2 linked regions of the Lepisosteus oculatus genome follow. The protein of the gene in region 1 interacts with the protein of each later gene in a biochemical or structural test. Links are inferred from orthologs where the notes say so. Each region holds a gene or a part of one and is shown in the gene's direction. Other genes may lie near its edges.

The links.
Region 2: the proteins of pard3aa (region 1) and jam3b form a complex in vitro, tested with the Homo sapiens proteins (2 studies listed by BioGRID and IntAct, with this or other methods). The link is inferred for Lepisosteus oculatus from reciprocal best matches to the Homo sapiens genes PARD3 and JAM3.

The regions. Positions count from the first base shown.
Region 1 is NC_090701.1:38,416,134-38,427,201, forward strand, and holds the start of pard3aa (partitioning defective 3 homolog), read left to right. Parts: upstream 1-5,551; 5' UTR 5,552-5,801; coding exon 5,802-5,921; intron 5,922-11,068. UniProt on the Homo sapiens protein: Adapter protein involved in asymmetrical cell division and cell polarization processes. Seems to play a central role in the formation of epithelial tight junctions. Targets the phosphatase PTEN to cell junctions.
Region 2 is NC_090718.1:7,928,535-7,939,640, reverse strand, and holds the start of jam3b (junctional adhesion molecule 3B), read left to right. Parts: upstream 1-5,657; 5' UTR 5,658-5,711; coding exon 5,712-5,760; intron 5,761-11,106. UniProt on the Homo sapiens protein: Junctional adhesion protein that mediates heterotypic cell-cell interactions with its cognate receptor JAM2 to regulate different cellular processes. Plays a role in homing and mobilization of hematopoietic stem and progenitor cells within the bone marrow.

The DNA.
Region 1 (11,068 bases):
CCTGCTGAGCTTCAGTGGGTTGCCAGTTGTGAGTTGCAGAGTGATATGGCTACTGGCAAGTAAAATAAAGAGTAAATATGAGCTCTGAACCCTTAAAACTTCAAATAAACCCTAGGAAGCTGTCAGTGAATCTAGTACTAACATTCTTTGCGTTTTAAGTCCGATGACTATATACTGTACGTGTCCAAAACAAATACGAGCTATATTAGAAGAATCTTAAGCAATGATTCACAATTATTTTGTCTTAGAAAGTGTGGATTCCTTTTACCTCAGCTTTTTTTTAACTGTAAGCATTTGTTAATTTTGTTCTGAATTCCCTTGCCATTGCGACAGTTTCAAGGTTCAGTTACCATTAATTGATCCAGCCAGTAGTCAGTTGTTTGAAGTAAATATGTGTGACATGCAACCATTTGGTATAGGGCCAAGTAGAGGCAAGTTCAAATCCCTGGCCATAGTCTTCAAAGGCCCTGACAAAGTCAGCCTTTTGGACTACAGATCCATCTGTGAAATACAAACCACAAGGCACAGGTTGAAACTGGGGGGAAATATTTACAACTAACAGCCAGGGGAAGATTTGTACACAAAGGGTTATGCACGTCCTTAATGTGTGTTGGGGACAAGTTTGATTTCTGTTGTGAGGGGTAAGATTGTAGGCAGTACAATATCAACTTTTCATCATATCCATAAGGTCTGACAAAGTTGAATTGTGTTTTTGATAATACTAGAATCTTTTTGGCATATCCCAGACATCAGAAGCAACTTCTTATATTAATGCATCTATGTTCTTAGATAATAAATTATGTCAGTTTGGGATAGTGATGAAATGTGTTTGACAGCCTTTTCATTAACTGATCATTCATTTCTAACAGTGATGCCATCACTTGTCTCTGACTATTACATAAAAACTACATAAACCTCATTAATGAGAATTGACTGGCCCCAGGAGATGATGTGAATTATCCGTTGAATGTCAAGCCTTGTGAACAATAAGAAAACCAGAAAAAAACTAATATGCCCCACTTATCAAGAGAGCAACACCTTTGATAATCCAATATACTGATGACTAATTAGTCAAGATTTTCTGCAGTTCCTGCAGTCTTGGACTAGTGTTCTGACCTTCCTGGACTTGGCCTGGCCCACAGAGCTGGTTCCCTGGCCTCCTGGTATCTCTGAGGGAGTCTGCTGATTGTTGAAGTGGAGCATCTCTTTCTCTTGAAAACGTCTCTCGCAGATAGGTCATCTTCAAGCAGATCAATAGCAACCAGGTGATCTTCATTATTCAAACAGGACATAATCGTATCTTTCATGGTTTTACCATCAATTAAATGAATGTCTGTTTATGCAGGTCTTTCATAAATTTGGGGAATTCAAACTCAAATGCTAAACACTTTGCCCCTAGTGTTATTATGGAATTGCTTGACATGATTTAGTTTTGCATAAGAACGGTACCACTCAAACAATCAGCAAACCTGATCTCTGTTTAAAGTGTGAGTAATGTTATGTATGGTACAGTATGTGCTCAGTTAGCTAGTGACATAAAATCTCAGCTGCTGAGTTTGAAAAATACTTTTTTTGAGTGTATGGGTGGTACGCATGTGCAATAAGTGCAAAAAGATTCATTTCAGGTAGTAATTTGCAACCGCTGGTTAACTATTAGTGCCAATTAACACATCAATGCAGTATTTCTACTGTTTATTCCCACTTGTCCCAGTGCCCAAATCACCCTTTCTACCTCTCTATTACAACTCCATTCAGAGAACCTCATGCACAGCTAACAACTGTCAATGATTTTATTTTTTTTCTTGTGAATTCTGAGTGCATCTCTCTATATGATTATACCTGATAATTTTAAGCCATTTGGAAGGTTCCCTGTCACATGATAGCATACAAATTCTGATTCCAGATGTTATTTATGTGGTTCAGTAACTTGCTGTCTGGTCCTAAATCACTCCAGGGAGAGGAACTATTAAAGCTACAGTATACTATAATTATGGAGAATGTTACACTTTGGTTTCTCAGCAATAATTACTTCATTTTGCCTAATGTTATCAAATTTATTTTATAATACGGTATATTGAAACTGTGTTCACTATGATAAAACCAGAATCTCTTTACATTGCTCTGTTACAGCTTTAAATAATTAAGGATGTGAATGTATTTTATGGAGGTAATTTTACTCTTGGGCAGCATTGCCAGCTTCTAGCCTGATCTTGTGAGATCTCATTACCTAAGCAAGACTGGGCCTGGTCTGTATTGGGATAGGAGACCTCAAAGAAAAAACCAGCTTGCTACTGGAAGTGGTGCCGGAGAACCACTAGGTGGCACTCTCCCCTCTGGTCCACATGTTCCAAACCAGTGCTCCAGAATGGGGATCACTGTGTTGTGGGAGATGCTGCCCTTCAGGTGAGACTGAAGCTCATACGAACAGGTGTTAGAACCTCACTGTCCTGCGTACAATTCCACTCTGGTCTGTCCACAATTCCACCTTTATTCAACTGGTAATTTCTCCCTTCTACACCTGTGACTGGGGCTTCTGATGCATAATACGGCTACATGTCACCTAGGTGCATGCTGCACTTTAGTTAGTAGATTAAATGGGTCGGTGTAAGGCACTTTGGGATCCTGACAGAAGCAATACCACTTTGTAGCCTGAGCCAAGAACAGCTGGAATGGGAGGCCTCAAAGGAGATCCAAATGGTGCCGACAGACAAGTAGGTAACACTCTTTCTCTGGACCTGAATTTCCAAACCAATGCAGTATTTTGACTGGGGTCACAACCACAACATAGTAGCAGGTGCTATGCTTCAGACAAGATGTGAAATCAAGGCCCTGATTACATGGTCGGTCACTGAAGATCCCCTACCACTTTTTGAAAGAGTAAAACCGTTAATCCCGGTGTCCTGGCTAAATCCCACTCTGGGCTAGGACAATCTCATCAAACGTGAATGAACCTCCTATTGAAGTAATGCTGATGGAGGAATTTGTCACTTCTCTAATAGATCCACTGTGCGATGGGACTGAACAAAAGAAGCTAAAGGAAGCACAATGTTCAACTTTATAAAGCATTTCTATCATGTCTTGATAACGTGAAGTTTTGGTCATCGTTCTTATTTTCCAGTGCCCTTGAAGATAGATTGCAAAGAACAGTGTGGCAATAAATACTTGAAGGACACTTAAGTACAATATGTACTTGATAGGTTGAAAAGGGATTTTTTTGTTGCGTAGTCTTAAACGAGGAAATGTTTAAAATGTGTTCTGCTTTAATGCTGACGAGCACAGATATTCAGATTTGAATTAAAGTGACATCCACCGTCATTGAAAAAAGCCCATCTCCTCCTGCTGGCACAGTTTAGCTGAAAACAATGTTAGTTAGGAGCAAATTGATTTTCCATTGTGGAAAAGGCAGAATATAAAAAAGAAATACTCCAATAAGGTTGCAACGTGGAATTGGACCTTAAGACAGAATTTAAATAGCAAAATGCATGTACAAATCCAATAAGAAAAATAACTGCAATTGTACTCTTGTGCATACAGCTTGGAGGCAAAAACAATACCAGAAATGCTGGCAGTCATCCTGTGAGAACTCAATTTTGAATTTATCAAGTCAAGCATTTAATTTATTATAGTATTAATATAAATAAATGTTATATTTTATTTAATATTTTATTATTTCTATAAATTCTTACATTTTTTATGGGGTGAAAATATTGCCTAATTCTAAAAGTTTCGTCAACTGTGTGGTTTCTGCACGTTAGTTTACCTGTGGAAATGCTAAAACCTTTGCCGACAAAGTGAAGGCTTCTGTTCGTCTGAATTTTGTTACCTTATTTTAATGCGACACATACTGTAGATGAGTGTATTTCAACCAGGGGATGCAGGAGAAGCAGCATCAGTGACTAGAAAATTAGGTATGTTGAATAAGTTGAAGATCGATCAGCTAAATGTACAACTTCATCTTCATCAAATGTCTTATATCATTTGTACCTTCCATTGTGTCATTGAGTTACACCGTTTATCTCAAAGAATCCATATATCACAAGCTTTTCACAGCTTATTAACCACACTAAATATAACTACAACACCTGAAAGACAGTATGAAATAGTTTTAGCACATTATATGACTCAATAACACCGTTCATGGCACTTCCAATTGAAACAGTTTCAATTCTGTTGGGTTATCTAGAGTTTTTAAATATACTTTACGATTGCTTTATCAAAGAAACAGATTTTAAAAATCATATTATTTAAGTTTTGTAAATACTTTTACCCAATTGATTTCCCCAGAGACTGAATCCACAGGGGTGCAGGGATTCAGTCTGGTCAAAAACGACTATGCGTGAAAACGATGAACAGTTAAATAGCTGCTAGTTACTGTAGGTTTGGCGCTGTGTGTGCGTTTTGACATCGATTAGTTTTGCACGTTTGTATTCGTAATGAGCAATACTGCCCCTCGAGGGCTGAGGTTGTGGAAAGCTTTTGTGTGTTTAAAACTTGTTTAAAAAATGACTACTTTCGTAAGCATATCCAGTGATGTAGTCGCTAATTAACTCAATTAAGCACGTGAAGTGTCAGGTGGAAGGAAACTAGCGGCCCTCAAAAACCAGGAATGCAACCGCTGGCGTGATTGAGATTGATGAATATCAATTGCATTTCCATATAATGTTTTTACCAAATTGAGACTGAAAGCCTGTGCTGAAAAAAAAAACTGTTTATTATATGTTGGTGGGTCTGCTGTTGCACAGAGAGACCTAATTTTAACTTGCTGAACAAAAAATTGATAGTTGTCCACCATTTCCTCTGCTCGAACAGGTTTGTCGCCAATAGGTTAATACTAATACGCCAACCGCTGCTCCGTGTAGAACAAGACATCTGCGCTCAATAATAATAATAATAATAATAATAATAATAATAATTAATAATGTACATCTGTGACAGTTAAAAAACAGTTCCTTGCGCTAGCTTTTAGGTTTTCAAGCGTTATACAGTACATTGTAACCCAACGCGACTCGCAGACTTTGCAGTCCTGATAAATGATAATATTTCGCGGTAAGCTACAGTGTAACAGCTTTAGTGGCTTATTGCATTACTTTTATGCAGATATATTCAACGGGCTATGTTCACGTCAGAAAACTAAAAATGTTCTGTTCATGTCTGCTCAGTTGGTTTAAAGCTAAACAAAACAAGTTTTAGTTACATATACATAAATTAAGAAATTAGATTAGTTAAATCCAAATAATAATCGGCATTAAGTGTACAAAAAGATTGCATTTTCGTGTTAGCTGATTAACTCATTTGGAGTGATATATCAACAGTTTTAAAGGGATGCTTAGCATAGTAATCACAGTTTTAAGAGCAAATATAGTTTATAAGCCACTTGAGTTCTGTACTTGTGTATAAACTGATAACATATTTTACCTATCATCTTTATTAAAGAGGAGGGGGCAACGACACTCCCGAGACTTACAGTATACAGTATGTGAAATGAGGTTGCTTGTGAAGTTTCAAGAGCTTCAATACTCGCAGTGACCAGGGTGGGGAGATGGTTTCCCAGTTCAGTTCTTTTCTGCTTCAGTTTAGCCAGCACATCAGAGTAGGATCGCAGAAACATTAAACAGGTGGTCAGAAACACACATCTTAAAAAAGCGACCATGGAGAAAAGGTGAAAAGCTTCGCGTTTCTCTCTCTTTTGGATCTACTTTTTGCAAGTCCAAAGGAAATACGTCCCAAGGAGGGTTTTACATACGAAAACTACACCTTTATTTTTCTTCTGGATTTGGGATTTGTGGAAAATATCGGTAACTATGAAAGTGACAGTGTGTTTTGGAAGGACCAGGGTGGTGGTTCCGTGTGGCGATGGAAATATTAAAGTTCACAGCCTTATTCAACAAGCCGTGATGAGATACAAAAAAGCTATTGCGAAGGTAAGTTTTCTTTACTTCGTATTGTGCTTTGGTGCTTTAAAAAATTCCCCATTGGAAACAATGTTGTAACCCAAGGAATGGTGCGGCAAGCTCAATATGGCGCTTTTCTGGGAGAAAAAAGAGAAGGAAGGGAAATCCTAAAGGTCTATTGATTAATTTGTAGAGATAGACGGGCGCTGATTGAGAAAGAAGCGACTTCAGGGTTAGTCTGGGTTGTAGCGTAGTAGTCAGATTTAACAGTTTTGTATATTTTTTTTGTGTTTTAAGTGCGGCGGGACCCGGCTGTTGTAAACCCGCAAAAGTTCCTTACTTGAACGTTATTTAAAGGGACAGTTTTTCTTTGATTGGCGCACTGGCGAGTTTGGTAAAATGTATTTTAAGCAACGATTTAGATTTTTCTGAAAGCTACCGTTAATTTAATACTTTTTAAAAGCCATGTTTGAACGTTGTCTATTACTGGTAAACCTTCAAATTGCAGATTTCAAACTTTAAGCTGGTTACGTGGTTTTATTTGGCAAAAATCAGTTTCCTAATACGACCGCGAGTACTTTATTCATGGTCAATATATTTTTAAATGCAGTGAGCTTATTTATCGCTTTGTTCAAGCGCAGTTTACAGTGGAGGTAGATTGGTTAGGGACCAGCCGAAATCAAAGGGTGCGTGTATTTGCACATATGTTTTGAAAACGAAATGCGCAGAAATAAATACGTTTTAATGCTCACACTATTTTTATGGTTTAAGTTGGGAATACTTCATGTGGAATAGATAAAAACAAAACAAGCTAAAAAGCTTCAAATCCAGCCCCAGGCTTCCTGAATACACCAGGCCCTGGAGGATAGGGAGGGAAACTGCATCTGTAAAGACACTGGTTAGTATTCCAGGAATACTGAGTTACACAGACACTGAATTGCGACTCCAAAACCCTGCCATTTATCATTGTTCGCCCAGGTTTGTAAGGTTGCAGAGGGGGGAATAAGTAGCAGTGATTTGTTCTGAATTCCTTATTTTAGTTTTTTTTAAAATATGTCTACTGGTGCGATCACGTAACACTCCAGTGTGCTGTTTCTGGCGACATAACATCGGGACAGCAATGAGTTTCATGGGGAAGTTATTACAAGTAGCAGTCGGCTATCGGCTAAATACCTACAGTTTGGTTTATGTCACACACACATGGATTTCCAAAGCACTACTTCATATTATATCGCTTAGTTGTGTAGCAAATTCTTAATACCGGTATCTTCCTTGTTGTAGTACATCCAAATATGATAAAACATCACCCTGCTGAATGATATAATTTTTTCAGACAATTCTGGTATGTAAAGTGAAGAGTAACATTTTGAAAGTGCACTTGTTTTCTAGCAGTATCTTCTACTTTACAATACCCATTCAGAACAGTGTTTAACCACAGAGCATCATTTGGAGCGTTTGTTTTTCTGTGAAGAATATTTTACAAAGTAGGTCTTTTTTAATATAGCGAGTCATTTTCTTTAGGAAGTTAACAGATCCGTTGTAAACAATTCATGATATTTGTTTTAGCTAACAAGAAAAAAGCAGCACTTAAACTGCTAGTGGTTATAAGCTTCAAGAGGCAGAGACTGAAGTCTAGTTACTGTTTAAAAGTACTTTCGAGTATCGGAGTAACTGCCCTATCACAGCTACAAAGCGGTTTCAGTTACTGTACACCCTCGCAACATTATTATTGAAACATTTCAGAGGGTTGGGAGCTTGTAAAATAGCCGTAAAGAAATTCAAGCCGATTAATTTCAAAGAGGTTTCAAACAATTTTACCCTGTTTGAACCTCATGAATGGAAGCTTTTACCTGTCTTTAGGATTAGGAAAGCCTGTTGCAGTTCTGAATTTCATTTGCCAGTTGTTTAAACATTTCTGTCTCCTGTAAAGCGACACCTTCCTATTAGAGTACTGAAGTGTTTGATCATTTATATCAGTTTAAAATACAGTAGTTATGTCAGAAGGAGAAATGTGTGTATTTAAGTAATAAAGGTTTTTGTCACAAAACCTTGAGGTAATGAAGGGAGGTGACTATAGAAACATACTTTTCCATCTCCTAACAACACTTGGACATCCATGCTGCAGTAATACAGAATCAATCTCCTTGGTTAAGAAAGGTGGCAATACATTTTTTTCAAGTATTTGAATTTGGACATTGTTGATTCTTTCTCGTTTTAGCTTTAATGGCGGGGATTTTCATTAAAGCATTTAGAATCAGGTTTCCAGGGAAAGAGATGCTTGAAGCATTGCCTTTTCAATATGCACCGCCAAAGAAAACAAACGAGTAGGAAGGCACTGAGGGAAATTTGCAGAGCACTGGGTTGTGTTGGTTACATCACATTTCATAACTCAAGAACTTGAGTCTCCGATGCAAGTTCCAGCCACATACTGTGCCATGCTGAAGTATTCACCTACTGAACTTGTCTATGAGTGAAAGACGTTTTGTCAATAAAACCCGCAAAAACAAAATCTTGACAGGTTCCCAGGCCCTACTGATGAGAAACAGCCCCCCCATATCATAATGCTGCCACCACCATGCCTTACAGTAGAAACGGTGCTGACTGGGTGACATCCTGTGCTGGATTCATGCCATGTGTAGAGCTTTTGCATTTAGAACAAAGAGCCTATATTTTACCTTGTCCGACCACAAAACCTTTTGCCTCGTGTTTGCAATATTACTTAAACACTTTGTTGTACACCCCATGACTTGAGATGGGTTGCCACTTTGCCCTAAAGACCAGCTTTGTGGAGTGACTAGGAGGTTGTTGACACATTGACATTTTCTGCTGTCTCAGTCATTGAACTCTGTAGCTCTTTCAAAGGTGCTGTTGTTTGACTCAGTTTGGACAGGAAGCCTGGGGCAGAGTACTGTGTATTTGTCACTTCTTAATGAATGACTTCACCGTGCTCAAAGAGATATTAAGAGTTTTTCCAGTGTTTTTATATCCTTCTTCTGATCTGTAGTTGTTTTGAAAGCTACTTAGGCTTGATAGTTGAATCTTTGCCTCAGATGCACTACCTGAATGCAGGTCCTTATAGAGACAGTAATATTTATTGTTAAATTATATGGACTACGATTATTACTGAATAGGCCATTCATGTAGTTGTGTGACTTTTTAAACTAAAAATTGTAATATGGTTATAGAATTCACCAAGCCTTCCTGTCTAAAAAACCTTTTGTGCTTTTGAGTTAATTAAATCATAGTACTTTGTCTGATTTCTCTGAACTTTGTCTTGCATCAAAGTAGCTATATTTTATAAATACACAAAATTAAAAAGCATGAAAAACAGTGCAAGGAAACTACACTATAAGCAGCATCCAATTATATCACAATGCTGCAAAATTATTGGACTTGACTGTTATAGTAGATTTTATGTACTTCCATGTGCAAACACAATTCAAATTTCTGTTTCACCAAGTACTTGATTCATACATTTTACTATTAAAGATAGGAACACAATGTGTTCAGGGTTAAGTTGTGAACCTGAACATTCAATCATAAGTTCACATATCTAAGAACTAAAATTGACTTTTATTTTAATCAGAGATTCACTGCCAGAGTTATTGGGATAATCTATTGACAGTGCTTACATTGAGAGATTTTCAATTAGAGGAAGGAGATGTCAAATACGTTTTTTTATTTACTGTATAACTATAATAAATGACTACAGAATGATTTAATGTTTAATGCATGTAACATGCAATTTTCAGCAGTTACAGACTTGTGAAATTATTTATATTGCAGACTTGTCCTTAAATCCTTTTCTGGGTTCCAGATACTGTATCAGAGCTAAAGATGGTATTGCCAGAAGCTTGCATTGCTTTTGGAAGAAGTATTTGCTTGGAAAATTGTGCAAAAATTACTTGGTGAATTCCTAAGAAATGACAGTCAAGTAAACCATACATTCAGACCTCATACATAAGGCATTTCCTTGTGTGTTTTGAAAAGAGCCAAGAATTTTCATTCTGAACCTGCAATGTAGTACCAGGGGTGTATTAACGTTGTAATGGAAGCCATGGGGTCTGCCTTTTCTTAACCCTTTGGAGAGAGTAACTAGGAGAATCCTACCACTCTGATCCTGTAGGAAACTCTCACATTGCTTTGATGAAACTAAGACGTTCTGAACAAAAAGGTTAGTCGATGTCAAAATAATATACAAAGAAGCTGTAACCTGTAGCGTTTTTTCTCTGGGGAAAGGTACATACATACAACTTGATTGGACCGTGTAAGTTCCTAGAATGTAAATGATCCTAAAAGCCCATGGTTATCTCAGATTGGCTATGGGTCTTAAAATTTGATTACTAATTGGTCATCTAATCCCATGACCCTCTGCATTTTCTGGAATGCTGTCATCATCATTCAACGTCATCAAAGCCATTGGATTCTGTCAAGTTGAACTTTTAACAATAAAGGCTCTTGCTTTACTGAATTGGATGAAGCTGTTAGAAAATGGATGATTGGGACTTGCTTTATCAGAGATCGAAAGCATTTCAGAAGACTGCAAAGGAACAAGTAAAGGTTCCTTCCATGCTGAAGGAAAAAGGTTAGACAATGTTTCGGCTGTGGAACCTTCTTCAGGTGTTGTTTAATTTCAGAAGACTGTTTAAACTTGTCCATTTAGCTAGCTAACGTCTTATCAGTGGAAGTGGAGTAAGTAGTAACAATAAAATGCTAAAAAAAATATTATTAAGCATGATAATGATGGCATTCTCATAGTGGGTCATGGGTTCATGTCTGGTATGTTCTCCCCGTGTAAGTGTGGGTTGTCACCAGCTGCCCCATTTTCTGCCCATTCCCAAAAGACATGCATATTTGATTTTCCGGACTGCGTGTGTACATTATCCCACCTCGTGTTTTGTGCTGCAGGGAAGGTAAGAGTTGCAGAAGAGCCTTAAGCAGTTTTCTGGTAATGAATGGGTGACGGCTAAAATAAGTTATTCATGTGAAACTCTTCTTCTATGTTTGAAACTCAGGGTGGTAAATTCTTCATCAGACTTCCCTGCCAAGGTTAATAAGTGCTCCTAGACCAGTTTTTGACCTCCAGTTTAAGATTCTGAGCGACAGGAAAGATTACATCTAGAAAGCCTTGATTAAATGTATACTGTTTGCACCATGCATGCTTTTCGACTAGTTCA
Region 2 (11,106 bases), on another chromosome or scaffold:
AGGGTTAATAAAGTAATGTTATTATTATATTATTAACTACATTTTGCTTACGCAGGCTCACGGAAGACACAACCTAGGAGTATGAGAAAGATTATGTGGAAAGACCCAGGCTGAGTCCTGTACTGTATAATGTAAATAAAATTAAAAAGGGAACTACTGTTTTAATGAAATGAACTTCATCTGCCTTCTTTGGAACACGCCATTGTAAACTGTGAATACAGCCCTTTCCCAGAGTCCAAGCTGTTGGGGATATTTGTAACTTGACCTTTTTCCTGCTTTCAGTTGAGAAAAAGTGATTCAGAACAAAGCAGTGTTGCTTCCTTTTAAATGAACACTCAGAGAAACTGCTAAAAAATTCAAATGCCCTTCAAGGCAAAACCCTCAAAAACTGTTGTATTCAACCATGAAAGTCAACTGTTCCTCTTCCCCCTGCTAGTGCTTGAAATAACGCTGTAAAAGGAGCACGTCTAACTTGCAGTACATTTCTCATATACCATTAGATATAGGAACTGATGGCCATGATAACAATTTAGGCTGTAGGCAACAATCAGTGAGTTTATTCTTGTTTTGAGTGGAGCTGTTCTGGAAACTTCATTTTAAAGTCAACCTTTAATTCTTGTTTTTTTGATTGAAAACAGTATGAAATGAAGAAAATATGAGCGAGGACAGCAAGCTGAAGGCAACATGAGCATTGCCAGTCCTAATTAATAGTGTTTGCAGTGACATTTTCATGACTCTCAGGTGGTCAGCTTTAGTGTGAGTTGCTACAGTACAGTATGTGTTTGCTACATGAGAATAAAATCTGAAAAAACACGTGTGAAACTGGAGTTCCCTGACCTACGCAGAGGAATATTAGTCAATGTGATCTCAAGCTAAGACTCCACAGTTTTCAAGGAAATAGGCCACATCTGTCCCTTAGGCGTCCACCCACTGTAGCCACCCACACGGGCAGTGACAATGTCCTGAGAGTCAACGTCTCATCCAACCCTTCTTTTCCTGCCACTTTGACTCAAGTCCATGGAGTAAATGAACATGACAATGATCCCAATTATTATCCCAAAAGATAGTTAACAATTTGCTCTACTGTATAAAGATGTTTAGTCAACGAAATTTAATTTTATGAAGAAATGCAAAAACGTTCTGTGCTTTATACAGTACGTATACGAAATGTAGATTTTGATTTCAGAAGACCTTCAAATAACAAACTTTGAAACTAAAATAATTAATTTTCAGACCTGATTTTTATAACCTTTGAATACCTACCACCTGCAACATGAGAATTATTCTTTTATGGGAAACATTATAATAATCCTTTGAATATCTAAATATACTGTATTGTATGATGTGTTTTTATCAATTATGGTATGGCTTACTCAGAAAACTCTGACTAGCTGAGTAACCCTAGACACTGACTATCCATGCAAGTAATTTTCTAGTTTAGTTTGAATTAACATGTTCAGAATTTTACAACAATAGAAGTAAAACTAATTGATCTTTAATTACTTGATTTGGTTTTGTCACTCTTTGGATGGCTGGATGCAACATTAACAATTCCAATCAGTGTGTGTCTTGAGCAACTGTTGGAAAAGTTTGATTAACAGTCTATGAATATCATTGCTTCCTTTATACTTTCATTAAGTAAGTACAACTGTGAACTGCTACCTCCTGTGGAGGCTCTGATGATTTACTTTTACAAAGGTTTCTAGTGAGTGACTTTCTTCCATACTAATATTATTTAATAGACAGATTTCGATTTAGATTCCTTCAGTCTGTGGCATGTTGGCATTTTCTTTCTTAGTAAACACCTCAATAAACACCTTAATATATATAAACCATTTCCTTCTTATTGTTTTTACGGTTTCTCATTTTTATCTCAGAGACACCTCATTCTTTATTTTGCTTTTGCCTCTGTAATATTGAAAACTTTTTCTGATTTTATTACAGCCTCCATTACAATATTATTTTCTATTTCTCTCTTGACCTTTTTAAAAATCCTTTTTACCAGTGCATTAAGTTCATTTTGTTCCTTCTTTATGCTTGAAGCAGAATATACAGTATTTAAACTGTGGGCATCCTTTCTCTGGATCTCAATATCTATTTTATCATATCTCATTTCTTCATTGTCTGCTTTCCTGAAATTGTAAACTTGGTTTTGGACTCTGCCAGCACACTATCTGCCAGCACAATATCTCAGACATGACCAGCCGATCCTCTGCAGGAGAAACAGATACATTAAAGGTGCTAGTTATCAGTGAGTAAGAGGTCAGCTGGACCTGAAATCAGCAGACAGGCTTTCAGCAGGCTCAGCGCTGAAACTACTGATCTGGGTTAGTTCCTTGTCCTTTGATGCTATTTTGTTGAGCAGTGCCATCGTCTTCACCTTTTTCAGCTGCCTCATCTTCTGAACGCTGCGTATCCACTCATGCTGTATTCATTGCCATTCTGTTAGCAGAAAGTTTCGTGATTCCAGTTAAGTCACACACTAAGGCAGCCCCTTCTTCTTCTTGGATTTTGTTCCTAATGATAAATGGCATTTAGGTTCACTTCACGAGCACTTAATTACCCAGTCCTTTGCAGTTTTGTTTCTCATGTGAGTTTTCTTTGTGACTCCTCTCCCTCTGCTTCTCCCCTGCTGACACCATCCTCATTCTCCCCACTGCCACTCTCCCTTCAATGTTTTTGAATTTCTCTGTCGATCCTTGCCTCAGGCCAACAGATGCCCCTCTCACTCAGATGCCACCCACCGTGTCTGTGCAGATAACTTGTGTCACAGAGAGGTTTTCCTAAGCCTGAGAAAGTTGGAGCATTTCTCGGGACACTGTGTCATCAGCCCTGTGCTGTGTCGACAGATTAAGATCTGCAGTTGTTAGCCTTCCCATGGTGCGAGCTCTGAAGAAGCCACTACACCTTTCATTTTGAGGCTTTTTGAATTTTTTTCCCACAAGGAAAGTGTGTTCGTTTATGCAAGCATACTTTTCCCAGCATGCAACAAAAAACTGTTTTTTACCTGCTCTGGCAAAGACCCTTTCTACAGTTTATAAGAACTGAAGACTGCATACGTACCTGTTTAATTCAACTAATAACGTTATCACTCACTCATGTCTATTTTAATAAGTCGTAGTATATTTACATTTTTAGTTTTATTTCTCTATCACTGGACCATATCATCAAAGTTTAATCAAAACATTTCATGATCTGGATTTAACAGAGCTATTTTTTAAATCAGTAAAATAGCGCTTCCTGAAATGAAGTATAGGTCTTGTTTGAAGTCACAGGTGTGCCATTCCGGAAAATATTTCAAAGGCAAAATGTAAAAAAAAACAACTGTATACTGTATACTGAACATAATATTGTGAAAACTAGTGAGCTCAGTGGTCAAAGCAAAAGTTACAAAACAAACAGAATCTGTGTTGCAAGAAAATAATGAAATGCAATGCAGGCAATAATTCAAAGTACCAGCTTAAGAAAACAGCAGGCCCCTGCCAAACCAATCATGAATGCTGGAAGCAAAACCGGAGTGAGACTGATGGCAAAACCTACCATACTAAAATATTTTACATCACAGTCTTAAATGAAATATCCCCAGAGTATGCCAACATAAGTCATTTCTATAAACTGCCATTAGAGCAAGATTGAGCAGCTATTCTTCTCAGTGCTGGATTTCCTCCAAAATTGAATCAAGTAATAGATCAGTGACAGCTCTGAACAATCAGTCCAATAATGAAATTGATATCTACAGTACCTTATTCCTTGCAGAATATATGTTAATAAACTGAAGTTAAAAGAAGAAATATTGAAAAAGACTCCAGATCCCAATGACAGAAATAAAAAGCTGGTACAGACAACTTACTTTGGTGGACATGCTTAATTAATTTTTTAAGAGCAAGAAATTCTTTTTTCTTAGTATTCTTATCACATCTGTCATTAGGACGTTGTATGGAAGCAGTTTAAATTTTTTAACAGGTAGCTAAAGAGATGGTAAAATCTGTGTTGCAGGGCAAAAGAACCCAGAACATAATATAAGAAAATTAAATGTGTCGCAGCACAAGACAGACATTTAAGTTTTACTGTAATGAGAGAGACTACAGTACATTTCTCACCAAGTTCCTGCCCAAGAACTCTTGATGTCTTCACTGCAGCTTGGTTTTAATGGTCTATGAACATGATATACAGTACTGTTGTACTGTACATTTGTGTTAGATCTCACTAATCTGGTTAAAATATTGCTTTGTTCTTCAATTATTGACTAGAGCATGTGCGTCATTATTTGCATATTTTATTGTTTTGATCAGTTCTCATTGGTCAGCATCTAAAACATGTTGGGTGTGTGATCTATTCCCATGTAAAACCTTTCTTCTTCTACAAGCTTTGATCAATAGTTTTGATTAAAGGTGTGACATTCAAACATAGAATTTTCTTTTTTCTTTTTACTTTCTCCTTTTTTTATTTTCTGCTGGAACATTGACATAGATAAACACTCAAAATGACTAAAAGTGCTGAATCCGACACAAGAAGTATATTTACAGCAAGCTGAACAAATGTAGGACACTGAAGAGGAAAGATACACAGGTGATGCTGCTTTTTCACTGACAGATCCATAAAACACAAGGACTGTAGGTCCTGCAGGTTTTTAAAACACATCTTGTACAAGATTATATAAAGAATGTGTTCTGCATACAGAATTTTATCATTTTATTGTGCTAGTGGCTGTGTGGAGATTAAATCCATGTGAGATTCAAAGAGCCTTTCAAAAATACAATGGGACAGAATAGATATTGAAAGATATTGCTCATCACTTCATCCCTGGAATATGGATTTTTTTCCAGTCTGGCATTATTTGAAGACAAGTCAAATTATTGCTTAGGCACAGTGTGCCTGAGTCTATTGCTGGTTGCAGTTTAAGGCCGACACCATTTAACTCTGGGGGTGAAATGAATCTCATATACTGTATACAGTTTCTATCTTCTATATTATGACAGTAAGAGTACTAAAAATTATACTACCTTGATATAATTAGAAGTGATTATATATCTTTGGGTAATGTGCTTATCTGTCTACTGTGTCATTGTTTCAGCAGAAATTAAACATCAAAACAAATAATTGAAAACTATTGATTAAAGTAGTTTATTGAAGAAGAATTATAATTGGGAAAAGATCACACACCTTACATTTCTGAGGTGCTGTCCAATAAGAATTGATCGAAACAATAAAATAAGCTTGATGTACACTCTCTGGTCCATAATATGAAGATTATGAAGATTAAGCTATGAACTAGGTTAGTGAGATCCGCTAGGCATCTATATAAATGTAAAGAGCCTGCCACTTTTTTAGACCTTTGAAACATAACTGCGGGCGAGAAAAATATTCCCGCAGGAAGAGGTTAATACTTGACTTTAAGAAAATGTCCTGTAAGCCCCCTAAAAAAACCTTTCATCAGCCAGTTCGTGAGAAATGTCGTCTAAATAATTTACAGCACAACTATAAGACGAAAATCAAGAACTGTAACGGTAAAAACCACTAATCCTGTTTGGGAGGGGAAAAAAAGTAAATTTTGGGGAAAGGCTGTCCTTAAAAACGATGCGTGTAGCTATGGAAACTCTCGACAACAGACTCTCCCCTCCCTCTCTCCAGTGGTCCTCCCTATCATCTGAAAGCTACCCCCTCTATTTTGCGCATGTACGGGCAGATAATCCATTGAGCAACTCAACAAGATGGCGAAAGCAAGGCTGGCAGGATTTGCGATCCTCTTCTCTGCACACTGTGAGTCTATGCAGAAATGGGCTGTTTCATGTATTGAGCTGTAACGTTATTTTCTTCTTTTCCCCTCTGAACTTTACCGTCCTTTCTCTGTGGGGTGTGCGTTTCCATTATCCGCAGCTACACGAAATTGGTACAAGAACAGCTAGAAAGACCCAGCTATAGAGCTTTTTTTTTTAAATCAGATGAACTCAACGTGGGCTGCTTATTGTTTTATTGTTGTTACAATTAGCTACCTATTCTGCTGCAAAGCTGAAGAGCAACGCAAGTGTGCAGTGATAAAAGCTGTCTTTATTGCAGCTTTGGGTTTGGGGGAAGATAACGGTACATACTGTACCGTTCAAGCAATATTCGCGAGATAACGGGACACCCTGGCTCTTATTATTAATATGCTTTCCCAAAGGCGAAGAATAAATATCTGCTCTGAGCTGTACGTTACATTTTGAAATCTTTGGGTCGGAAAAAAAAAGTAAAGGTGGCGTTTGCTTGCTTCTTAACTTAATATACAGTATATATATATAAACTCTGAAGTCCGGATGTGAGACGGGTGTTTCGCCGTCTGTTTTCTGGGGAACCTCAGCTACGACGACGACCCCCCCCCCAAAAAAAGTTTTGTCGGGTGATTGGTAGCAAGACGTATTTGGCGAATATCGGTGACTGCGTGGTTAGAGAGAGCTCAAGCTGGGACATTTTCACGCGTGTTTTGAAGCCGGGATACGCGGAGTACACGGATAAAACTTGGGAGTTGAGAGAAAGAGAGAGAGAAGTGGGAGAAAAGTTGGTGCGAGGGATGCAGGATAACGGCCGTGCGGTCGGGAGCGCTGGCTGGAGGGGACGGTCCGCGGTCCGGCGGGGGTCGGCGCCTGGGCGCACCGCTCCCGCACCGCCGCACTGCCCCACCGCCGCTCTGTGAGACAGCAGGACTGAGCCAGAGCCGGCATGCGTGATCAGACAACAGCGTGGCCGGTGCGACAGCAGGCTGTTTCAGTCCATTTCAGTCACTCCGCCCCGCAGAGATCTGTGTTGTTTTTTTGTATTGTGGCAAATCATGTGGCATTTGTAATGCAATATAAAAATATCATTAAAATATTACTAATATAATATTGAAATATTATGAAATACAATGTAAATATTTTTCACTCACTATTGTTGTTGTTGTGGTGGTGGTTCTGATTATTATTGCAGATCACAGTGACGGGCAACACAGTAGTTTGCCTTGTTTATTCTGTTTTGTAGTTTATTATGAGTTTAGAAGGAATAGGTGTTTCAATAGCATTAGAAGAATAAATGTAAACAACGCACCAAGGTGTCCCTGAAGTACAGCTTCTCACTGTAAATAGTGTAAAGTTTAAGTGTTGCGGCTTCATAAACATACTGTATCTTGAGGTCGTGTGCTTTAAAATACTTTTAGCTCTGATTCTTCAGTGCAGCTGTTAATCGGAGCGGGTAACTGTACTGTAGGTAGTCCCATCTATAAATGCCACCCACGCCTTTAACAGAATTAGAAGGAGAGATGAAAACTCAATCAACTGATTATACCTCTCTCTAGCAGGGCTATGCTGATTCTGAAAAGCCTACTGTGCATATTTACAAGAGTGAAAATGTTATTCTTGAGGGCTTTCTAGCTTTGACTTTCATGAAGAAAAAAACAGCATAACATACCAAATGCGTCACTTTAATTTGCTTGCCGCGAAGTGGGTTATCTTGCTGCTTAATAAGCAACAACATCAGTGGCATGAAAATTTCTTGTGCATTACAGTCCCTAACTCTGTGTGTTGATGCCGCTAAACAGAAATGTTGGTTCTTGCCTCGTTATCACCTCGTAATTAACGTCTCGACACACCAAGCAATGCAATAACGAAGAAGCTGATGATCTGTGTCATTGGACTACCTAAACGAAGCAGCGTGGGTCGTGTGTAGGAAATATTGTTTTTACTACAACTACCAGTGTAATCAGCTGGTGCTTGTTAATTACTGTACATCTGTCATTTCAGTATTGTGCAGATACTCTTTAGGGTAGTCTACCCATTTATAGCACTAATGAAGGCTGAGTGAAAGGATAACTCAGACATTAACAGGGAAGTCAACTCAGTGCTCATTGAAGCTAAATATGTTTATATTTTTATCTATAACAAATATGTATAGATATTTGAAAACCTGCAAACTTTAAACAGTAATACAAATTTGTATGTGTTTTGTAGGAGTTTGAAAACAACTCTCAATGTTCATTTAAATGTTGTACCCTATATTCAATTAGGGACATTCAAATAGCCTGAAAAATTAAATACAATATCTACAAGTAGATCAATGATTCAGCAGTTGTTTGGCATGACTTTCTTTTCCTGCTTGCTTTGCATCTCTTAAAATAACCTTTGAAGATATTATCATTTTAAAAAGAATTATCATGCTTTACAAATGGGGCTAGAAGCTTCTTTTCTAACTTCAATGATCAAAATAATGTAGGCATGAAAAGCCCACTTTAAACTTAAACTTTAAACTAAAACAATATTGACGGGTTCCTTTTTAAAAAAAAATGTTTCAACAGTGAAAAAATCCTTTTGCAGCACAGTTTCTGCTGATCTGTCTTCAAACATGGCGTGTGGAAAAGCAAGCCCACGTTGTTGCTAACAGTAATTTTGCAGAAATGTGTCCATTGTGGGTATCAAGAGCTATTGTGTTAGACACTCTAAAATATTTTTTTTAAATATAGTTACTGAGTCTGAAATACTTTGGCCATGTGCTCATAACTTAAGATTCAATAGCCGAAAGAGCTTCCCTGCTGTGCTGTGCCATTTTTATGTATTTTTCCTGCCAGGGAAAAGGAATTAAAGATGAAGCTGTTTCTGGGTTTCGTTATGTTTGTTATGACACTGTGGAGGTTACTGCTTCTATTGTTGTTTAAGATTTAATTCTTCTTGAAGAGAGGAATTTAATACTACCTCCAGCCAAAACAACGTGGTGCCAAGATATTTTGAAGCAGTACGATACTCAGTGGAACATTTCCAAACTAGTGTAAAGCCATGTTTAGAGATTCAGCTTTTTCTTTATTTATAGCCTCTGAAGTGACCTGTCCCGGGACAATCTTTAGAGATAGGCTTTAAAGATTTTTTTTTTATTCCAGTTGGGAGGTGTGATTGGCAGTAGATTTGATGGTTTGGCACTTGTCATTTATTTTTAACTCCTCATCAGAGCAAAGATAATGTAGTTCTTTTACACAGAGCGACAAACCAGAAAAAAATATTACTGGTAGCAAAGCTCTCCTTCTGCTAGTTGTGAGCCTTCAGCCTGTTGGTTCCATTAAGAGTTTTGTGTGAATTAATTGAACTTCATCTTTTGGTCAGAAAGGTAAATGTTCCAAAAAGACACTTTGAAAACCAGTAAAATAATAGTGTATGAATAGTTCAATCTTTGTTTATCTATATTTTTAATGTTGACATAAAACATTCAGGTTGGCAAAAAATAATCATTCGAAGTCTGCCCCTTTCAGCTAAAGCATATCTAGCAGAATGAAAGTCCATCAATGTCAAGTTAACCCATGATTCAAGAAGGTGAGAAAGCTACCTTTAAAACATCTTCAAATAATAGTCAAATATCCTGCATCTTTCTGTGCCTTAGAATGTCTGGAGAGGATAAGTAAGACTTGGCTGGTAAGAATATTGTTTTTGTATTTTTATCACTGTGCTGGTGAAGTCTTGCAGAATCTCCACTGACTGCCACGATGCCACCCTGTTCTTTTGCAACAAAATATAAAGTGCTTAACTTCTTGTTCCCACCTTCTCCTTGATGTTAGGCTGGAATGATCCTCATACTGTACTTCGAGGGAGAGCGCTTTGATCTCCAGAAGACTGTCGGACGTCTCGCAGTTCGTAATCTTTACTTTGAGCTCCGTTCTGCAACTGTCTGGAAATTGGTTGGCAGGAGGACTAAGAAGGGCTCTGTGACAACTGCTGAAGCAAAATATGGTTATATGGCAATGCCAATGTATTGTAACTGACACATTGGAGGCATTCTGCCTGTGTCCCACCATATTCAGGCATGGGAAAGTGAAGCTGCATTTGGAGTTCCTCATTTTAATGTGCAAAAGAGTATCTGACCCAATTTCTATGTACTTTATGTTTGTACACATAGAGTCCTGACAAAGATTTATGAACAATTGTGATATTTATTATTGTGTGTTAGACTTTTTCAAGAGCATGGAAAAACAGCTTGAAGGGCCTATTTATGGATGCCACATGCAGTGCATCTCTAAAATGACCAGAAATAGAGAGCAACTCACAGCATGCTGTAATGGGCACGCAAGCTGGTAAAACACTGTACTGTAGTTTTGTGGCGTTATGCCAGACTGCTGGTGAAAAGCTTCACTACTGGTAAAAACAATGACACAAGTTGCTTTAAAGTTCCTGAAGCTGTGCTTTTTTCCTCCTTCCCACAGCTTTTGATCAGAAAGGTCAAAGTGAAAGACACTGGCAGAACTTTTCCTGGGAGTCAGAGAAATAATTCTAGGGATTTAGCCAGATGAGTACAAACTCTGACATCAAAACACAAGCAAGGAACTTGGCACATTGCTAAAAGTGCTGAATCTCAGTAGTTTTATGTAGTACACTGCAGTTTGCAGCATCTATAAAATTATGTGGAAGCTGGCCCCTGTTTTTGGTATTATCACAGAGTCACACTAAAAAATAGGCCCTTTATGAAATCAGAAAATTGAAGTAGTTGCTAGATTCTTTGGTTCTCAGGACCTCTATAGGGTAGCTAAAATGTCTTATTAGGTTATTTGTGTGTTCTCCCAATTTAATTGGGCTTTCCGTTAACTGAATGTTGGATAGCGTTTCCTCAGCAGATTATACAATGTGGAAAGCAGGGGGTTTAATGGACGTTTCAGTCGTTTGCTTAGTAACAATAGGGCAACAATCATAATTACATCATGTACCGGTCATTACATTCCTTTTGGATTACAAGTTTTAAAAAATCCCATGTCTCCAATGTGGCCTTACAATTGGAAAGAAGTTTGTTTTCGAAAATATTGACACGAGAAGGATTAGAAACAAAAAATAAATTGTTAGTTTAGGCATTTGTCTCAGAAAAGGTACAGCTGGATGAATAGGAGTAATCCTATGAGTACAGTCAGTGCACCAGTTTGTTTGGGAGAAGATGTCAATGCTTTTCGTAGGACAGAGACACATCCTGTCTGGAGAAACCTATTGTTTTCAGATGGTGATGATTAATCCACAGGTTCAGTCAGGAGTTCAGTGGGCAGCCACGTACTTTAGAAATCCAATTGCTCTGTATATATGACAGACCAGAGCTAGGAATGCTTAGACTTTGAACCAAAGAAGGCTGCACATGTCC